Sus scrofa: one gene and its partner. The protein of the gene in region 1 interacts with the protein of each later gene in a pairwise test. Links are inferred from orthologs where the notes say so. Each region holds a gene or a part of one and is shown on either strand. Other genes may lie near its edges.

What was found. The genes of interacting proteins can lie anywhere in the genome.
Region 2: the proteins of AQP1 (region 1) and RGS17 interact in binary tests that used the Homo sapiens proteins (3 or more experiments, as listed by UniProt). The two-hybrid records come from large-scale screens. The link is inferred for Sus scrofa from reciprocal best matches to the Homo sapiens genes AQP1 and RGS17.

Annotation. Positions count from the first base shown.
Region 1 is NC_010460.4:42,073,942-42,077,949, forward strand, and holds the start of AQP1 (aquaporin-1), read right to left. Parts: upstream 2,801-4,008; 5' UTR 2,611-2,800; coding exon 2,221-2,610; intron 1-2,220. UniProt on the Homo sapiens protein: Forms a water channel that facilitates the transport of water across cell membranes, playing a crucial role in water homeostasis in various tissues.
Region 2 is NC_010443.5:13,339,785-13,343,800, reverse strand, and holds the start of RGS17 (regulator of G-protein signaling 17), read right to left. Parts: upstream 2,801-4,016; 5' UTR 2,743-2,800; coding exon 2,555-2,742; intron 1-2,554. UniProt on the Homo sapiens protein: Regulates G protein-coupled receptor signaling cascades, including signaling via muscarinic acetylcholine receptor CHRM2 and dopamine receptor DRD2.

The DNA of each region.
Region 1 (4,008 bases):
CGGGAGCCCTTGGCGGGGATGCTTTCTCTGTTTGTGCCCTGCCAGACCCCAAACTTCCACGGTGTGGACAGGGCTGCCCTGGGTCCCGCCACAGTGCTCAGTGCCCTTATGCTTAGCACGGCCCCTCTTGGGCTCCCCTTAGCCAGACCGCCCTGGGAAGAGTGATAAACTCAAGACCTAGAGTGAGCATGCTGGTACTACACATGTGGCCAGGAGATATCCAGAGACCCAGGTCCCCTCTTGGAGCCTCAGGGCTCTCAGCCTCGGGGAAACCCAACAAGCTGGTAGGATCCAGGACTTGAGTCTAGGCTGGGCCCCACACGATGCTGTCCCTTTTTCTCCCCCATCTGCCACCCGCCTGGCTCAGGTATTGGGGCAACTCTGGAAAATGAAGGCCAGAGAGGGGACGGGACACTGGAGGAGGGCGTGGCCAGATCAAGATGACACAGAGGAGCCCGCCCTCCCACGTCTGCCTGGGATGGCCAGCTTAGAGACACCTGCCTGCCTGGTCCTTGAGACAGAGGGTCAAGAGGGGGCCGAGAGGCCTGGGAGACTCAGCTTCCCACCAGGAGGACCCTATCCCCACGCCCATCCTGCCCAGCTAAGCCCCAAGGTGATCCCAACCCTACCCGGCGGGCCCTCCCCGATGTTGCCCGGCTCTGCCCCCGCTGGAGAGATAGACCTGGAGGGACGCAGCCTGCTGGAGCTCTGTCCCTCACAGCCACCATGCCCACCTCTTTCTCGACTAAAGTCTAAACTCCAGTCTACAGGGCTAATCTTCAACCCCGGGTTGGGTGAGGTGTCACTGTGGCACAAGAAGTGCTAATCCCTCCATGGCAGGCTCATGCCAGCTGCCCTCCGCACCGGAGCTGGCCAAGCCTCCCCGAGCCGCAGCACCAGGAGCTGAACTTTGACTGGGAAGCAAGAGCTGCTTCTCTGATCACCCCCTGCGGTCTCTGCAGGGCTCTTGGCCCCTCTCTTACTGTCCCCACACCCGCCTGCCCTGCCCAGGCCCTGCCAGCCGACACCCCACCTGATCCCTTCTCTCTGCTCCCTGGCCTCGCTCCCTCCCTGTGGCAACGCCCCCTCGGCTGCGGTGTTCTAAGACCTCCTCCAAGCCCTACCCAGACTCTCAGGCCAAATCTCCCCCTGCTGTGGCCCAAGCCAGGTCTGAGTTTGCACTTGGCTGAAGGTCTGGAAAAGCCCAGGTCTGCGACAGCAGGCAACTGCCGCCAACAGCCAATTAGCTGTGCTAAGCGGCCCAGGAGGAATTCTTTTCTGCAGCTGCCGCTGGGTCACCCACATCTGCTTATCCTGAGTGCCCCCAGGCCGGGCCCCATTTAGTCTGAGAGCGGTGGGCACACGCAGGCACATACTCGCCCCCACACATGCCTGCCCAGCAGTATAACGGGCTCACAGACACAGACACGCTTCCAAAAAAGACTCACACAGGAGTGCCCAGGTTCCATGGGCTCGGAGACCCATGAGGGTGGCCATCCATGCGCGTACACGGCTCACACCCACCCACACACCACACCTCTCAGTGCCCGGCCACCGCGAATGGACCCAGAGAGGGGGTGAGAGGGCCCTGCCCCGCCCCTGCCCCTTGCTGTAATCCAAGAAAACCGCCTGCACACTGTCCAGACAGGGTTTTCACCCCCATCTTTGTCCCCCACCTGGGGCCAGAAGAGCAAGAGGAGCTTTTTCCTTCAAGGCAGTTGGTTTGGGGACCTGTGCGAATGTGGGGCTGCTGGAGCAGCCCCAGGGGAGTCCTGCTCACACTGTCACGGACCCACACACATGCCCGGCCTGTGGTGCAGGGAGGCGGGGGACAGCAGACAGAGTTTCCCTGGGGTCCAGGCCGCATGGGGAGGCAGCTGCTGCACAGGGAGGGCTTGGGGTGGAAGGGAGCAAGAAACCAGGGTGAGGAGCTGCTGGCCCAACCACTAGCTGCCTCCAGAGCTTATTTCCCATAATAGAGGCCCGCAGGGGACACTGGCAAGACCATTACGCTCTGGGTCTCCGTGTCCCACAGTGCCTGGAAGAAAAAGGGCTCTGGACCCAGGCACAGCTGAGTTCCAGGTCAACTGAGCATGACCTCCAGCAACCTCTCGTCCTCTCTGTTCCTCAGTATCCCCATCTGCACAGTGGGCAGAGGATGAAACCGGCGGCATCTCAGCACCATTCTAGAGCCCCGGCGCCTGGGACCACCCCACTCACCGAGTTCAGGCCAAGGGAGTTGCCGGGCAGGGAGGAGGTGATGCCTGAGAGGATGGCAGTGGCGACGATGGCCCCCACACACTGGGCAATGATGTACATGACAGCCCGGAGGACACTGATCTGGCAGCTGAGCAGGAGCCCCAGCGTGACGGCCGGGTTGAGGTGGGCGCCGCTGATGTGGCCCACGCTCTGGGCCAGCGTGGCAATGCTCAGCCCAAAGGCCAGCGACACCTTCACGTTATCCTGGGCCGCACCTGAAGTCTGGTTGTTCCTCACGGGGTACTGGAAGCCCAGGGCAGAACCGATGCTGATGAAGATGAAGAGGGTCATGGCCAGGAACTCGGCCACCACCGCCCTCCAGAAGATCTTCTTCTTGAACTCGCTGGCCATGTTGGCAGGGGGCTTGGCTTGAGACGGCTGCCTGGTGCTCGCCTCTCTCTGAGAGCTGAGCCACAGCCGGGGCTGGGCCTATTTATAGGGCCCCCCCGGGGGGGGGGAGCACAAAGGGAGGAAGGCCTCTCCTTGCTCCTGGCCCGCCCCACACTGCACGGGCCTCCTCTCAGCGATGGATGCAGACACAGCTCTGCTGTCGGCCTGCCAACTTTTTTTCCCTTCCTCCTCTCTCCCCTCCCTCCCTCTCTCCCTCCGCCCTCAGCCCTGCCCAGCTCGAGGAGGCAGGCAGGAGGCAGCGTTTCTCTAATAGGCTTTGAGAAATTCCTCCAAGTTGGCCCCACTCAGGGGGCCAGAGAAATCCAGGTGTCCCTGCCCTGTGTGCAAAGCGCAGGGGGTGCCCGAGGGCAAAGCCAGGCGCTCCGGATGGGGCGGGTGAGCGGCTAGGTTCAGCAGGTGGACGTTGCCCTCCTAGAGGCGGGCACCATGACCCTGCTGGTCTGCCATCCCCATCCAACCCCAGAGAGGCCTGAGTCTGGAGTCCACAGGTCCAGGGGTCCCCAGCGGCAGTCTGCGCCTCCCATACCTGGCCACTAAATGTCACCATAGGAATGTCCCAGAACCCTCAGACCACCGGCCAGGCCTCAGTTGATGGGGACACAGAGGCATCAGGGGGTACAGAGAGCTCATCTACAGACCACCCCCCACTCTGTGGTCCAGGGCAGGCCTGAGACAGGCTAGGATGCTCCCTACTCTGATTTGAGCGAATGATCTTGCGGCAGCTGGGGAAGATGAGGGCAGGCAAGGACTTTCCTCTCGAAGCCTATGAAGCTGGTGGACCACTGGGGAGACAGGAGGAAGGGCAACCTGACCGGAAAGCCCCGGAGGGAAAGGGGAGGAGAGAAAGGGGGAAGAGAGGTGGGAGCACGAAAGGGAGAGGAAGAGACACCGGGGCCCAGAGGGGAAGAGGCAAAGGAGGCAACGAGAGGCAGAGAGACAGAGGGAGGAGGAAGGACAGTGGGATGTGGAATCAGCCGAAGCAGAAGTGAAAGGAACAGATCCCCAAACAGTGATAGGGAGACACTGGGGACTGAGAAGGAGAGACAGAGACAGCACAAAGCGCGAAAGACCACTGGAAAGAGGGGACACAGGACTGGACCCAGAGGTGAGAATCCAGAAGAGCAAGAGGAGAGAGCAGAGGGGAAAGGGGAGGGACCGGACACTGCCTGGGGCAGGGGGAGGGAAGAGGCAGCTCTAAAGACCATGCCCGCCCCCCACCCCGCCCCATAGTCCAGCCTTGCGCCAAAGCCAGAGGCCCAGCGGCAGCCAGTGAACTGAGCAGGAACCTGGACTCCTGGGCCGGAGGCTGGTCAGGAACCCCAGGCCCAGGCCACCAGG
Region 2 (4,016 bases), on another chromosome or scaffold:
GTTCGTTGAAAAAAATTCTGATTTAACACCTACCTTTTGCCAGATAGTTGTGCTAGGTATTAGCAAAACAGCAGGATTAATGGCATAAATGAATTTCTTTAGAAATTAAGGCAGTCTCTGAAGGATAAGTGGAGATGGGAAGAGATAAGGAGGGTCAGAGTATCTATTGATCAAACACTGAAAGTCCAGGCTACCTACCTCTAAGGACCTTTTGTTTCTTTTTTTATATTTATCTATTTTGGAGGCCACGCCCATGGCTTGTGGAAGTTCCCGGGGCCAGGGATCAAACCCGAGCCGCGGCATCGACTCAGGCCACTGCAGTGACAACGCAGGATCCTTAACCTGCTGAGCCACACTGGAACTCCAGAACTGTTTTATTTCTTTAAGCTTACCATAAAAACTTAAAATATTTTTGAGGATCCAGGATACTCCCTGAATATGTCACAATTCTAAGTCTCTATAATGACTCCGTGCTTATACTCGACCTGTAGTAATCAGATGAAATAAAATGGTTTTTAACCTCACATAGTTATTCTCAACCACTGGGTATACAGTGGTCCTTGCATTTGCCTTTCTGGGTGGTGCAATATTTTCATTATTAACTAAGCAGAGCTGGACTATCAAGAAAAGGATTCTCAGCAGAAACGCAGTTGGATGGGTTCCATTCCTCTTGGCTCCATTTCTCCTTGTCCATTCCCACCTTTCACTTTTCCAGAAAAACCCATGCCTTTCAGCAAATAGATTTCTAAGGAAGGCCACTATCTCTACAACTGTAAATTAGCAGGTAAATGCTTTCTTACTTTTTAGTCTATGAGCCAACCGAAATTTTTATCGATTTAGTTTTTAGATTTGGCTGTTATAAGGTCAAACGGATGAGGATACACACATTTGTCCCTTTTTTCAAAGCCCCTTGCCCTCATGGTAAGACAGGTTCAGGCATGTCTTCATCATCACCATCTTCATCACCACCATCATCAAAAAGTATAACAAGGCCAGAGGAATGATAATGACTTAGACGCTAACATTATGAGTTCCAATAAGTCAGGACCCTGTAGGAAAATTTCCTAAAAGCTGAGAGAGAATCTATTTGTGAAGAAGAAGCTGTATGACTTAAAATTGAACAGGAATAGCGGATAACTCTCCTAGTTAATTCTTTTCCACAGAGACTAAACACCAAGGAGCAGTTGAGGAACCAGAGCAAAAAGGGCAGCATTTGGAAGAGCAGACACCTCTGTAAAGTAGGAGGTTCTCTTTATCTTTCAGACCACAAATTCAGGAGGAAGGATGAGTTGTCCATGGCTCTGAGATCAGGTATCATTGCCATGGAGATTTATCTTATTTAACCAACGATACCATCTAATCCTTTTGTAAAAACAAATACTTGTTTTCTCATCTCTAAAAAGTGTATGTTTTCTCTAAATACAGTTTTTAAGAATGTAAAAACAGTGAATAAATCTACTCTCCTGTGAGTGTGCTAATTACTGTTTTAGTTCATGCTAACAGAAGAAACAGCTTGATAACAGTCACTTAAGTGGAAGAGGTCAAACTGCTCATTCATTTGATGAATGAGTATAAATCACCTTTCCATTAGATATTAGTGCAAAACGTATATTTCATAGAGACCTGCTATTGTTACCACCAAGGACTTTAGAAACAAATACAATTTACCCAAAGTGTTTCACAGTTTTGAAAAAAGTATTTAATACACATAATGCCAAGCAGCTATGAAACCAGGAGAAAAACATTATTTTCCATTACAAGAATACAAATTGCTTCTCGTTTCTCCAATTAAATGATTTTCAGAGGGTTCATCACCCGGAAAACCAGAATGTATGAACGCCGGAAATGCAGATGACATTCAGTCTCAGAAATGCTTGCGGGAATCCAACTACAAGATTTCTCTCTATTACCTGCGATAGCCATCACATGGAGGAAATAGGCCGGCTGTAAAACAATTTTAAAAAAGAAGAAGAAACAACTGCGGGAAGATTGCAAAGTTCTCTAGACAAACCTTCGAGTGACTGTTTTAAAGAAGGAAACCTTTATCAAGGGTCAGAGAGGTTAGGAAATCCACTATGCCAGGCGCCGGGGTCAGTCTCGCCAGAGCGACTGAGATTGTCCCAGGTGAGTGGGTGTCCCGGGTGGAGGCGGAGGGAGTAGGGCGGGTCCCCACACCGCGGGCATCTTTTTGGACAGGCGACCCTTGCTCTGCCTTCTGAAGCCCAGCGATTCCCGAGGCCGGCACTGGGCTGCCCGGGACACCCTGCCAGCAGCCTCCCGCCTGCGAGGACCACCTCCCCATCCTTGGCTTCTCTAAGGATGAAGAGGCCAGCCCTATCTCTCCGCCATCCTCAAGTCCTCCGACATTTTTCACAGAGACAGGGAGGTAGGGAGTAAAGGAAACGGCCGAGTGTCTGCACCCAGCCTCTGCCGCAGCACATGAAGAGGGAGAGGAGGAGGAAGGCTGGCGAGTAAGCAGCTATGAAACCGTAATTCTAGCGATTATACAAAGAATCATCATCACCTACAGAAAGAGAGTCTCGGATACACCCACCTTGGGCAGTGGCTGGGGGATTGGTGGGCGTTCCACCTCCTCGCCCCCTCGAAGGCTGTGAAATCTACCCGAAGCCGAGCACACGAGAACTCCCTCTCCATCGACCAAAGGAGCGGAAAGAACAAAAGAGGCCCCCACCCCCTAAATACACACACCTCAGATGTATTACCGATGCTCAAGGTAGGCATTTCTGCACCCCCTTTGGCTCACACCTCCCTCACCTGCATTTCCCCAAAGGTAAAGGAAAAAAAAAAAAAAAAAAAAACACCCCGAGGTGATCGGTCGACTGGACACTGTTAATTTCACATTCGGTTTTCTAACAAACAGCCACCCAAATCGGCAGGACCTCGCGCCCCGCGGGGTCTCCCGCCGCCCTTGGCCCTCCCTGTCGAATCGCCGAGGCGTCCAGCTCTCCGCTGAGGACCCGACTGTGGGCAGGATCCTTCCCTGGGCGGGCAGGACACTTGCCCAGCGGGTCCGCAGCAGCCGGAGGGCGACAAGCGGACCGCGCCGAGGCTACAACGCGGGATTCAACTTCCCAAACCTGCAGCTCGGCCCCCGCTTCCTCCCGCGGTGCTGCGGGCTGAGCGGAGACCCCCAAGCCGGCCGCCACCCTCTTCAGAGCACAGGCAGTTGTACTCTCCGCCCCCTCTTTCCTTCACCTCCGCACTCCCCCACCTCTAAAAAAATTCAACCACCGGTGCAAAGCAGACATTTTGATGTCATTTACTTAGCGCGGCTCGGTTTCAGAGGCAACATCTTACCCAGTCGCCTGGAGGTGTGGGCAGCGCACCAATGCGTCCGGGGGCGCGAGGCTGGGCTGCTCGGTCCTCTAGCAGAGCCGGTTTGCTGCCATCCGCCCAACTTCAGCACCCAGCGGGCGAGGAGAGAGCGACAGAAGCGAGGACGGAGGGGAGGGGGAGGGGGGAAGGATGGAAAGGTGGGCGGGGAGGGAGCAGGAGCCGCTCGGTAGCGCGCATGCGCCCCGAGGGCGGGCGCAGCCCCTCGCCCCGCTCGGCCGGAGGTGCCGCTTCTGCCTCGGGCGCGCGACCGAGTGAGTCACGGCCCCGCCCCTCCCCGGCCGCCCGCCCCCCGCGCGCCCGCCTCGGCTCGGCGCCCACGGCGCGCAGGGGCTCGGCGGGGGCTCGCGCTCGGGCGCCGGGGGTCGCGGCTTCGCGGGCGCTTTGGAGACCTGGGAGCCTCCCCGTATGAGAGGCTCTCGTGCCCAGTCTCCTGCAACTTCACGGTCACCCCCAGCCCGCGTTATTTTATCCTGCGCTTTAGGAGAACGATTGAAACCAGAAATCTGTCTTTAAGGAATAAAACAGCTGCAGCAGCGGGGTCCTAGAGGATGCAGTCTCGGCGCGGGTGGGGGGGCGGGTTCAAAGAGGTGTGAAGTTAAGCGAGTGTGGCTTAGCAAAGGACTCGATTTTTATCAAAGGTTCTTTACTTTATTGAAGTC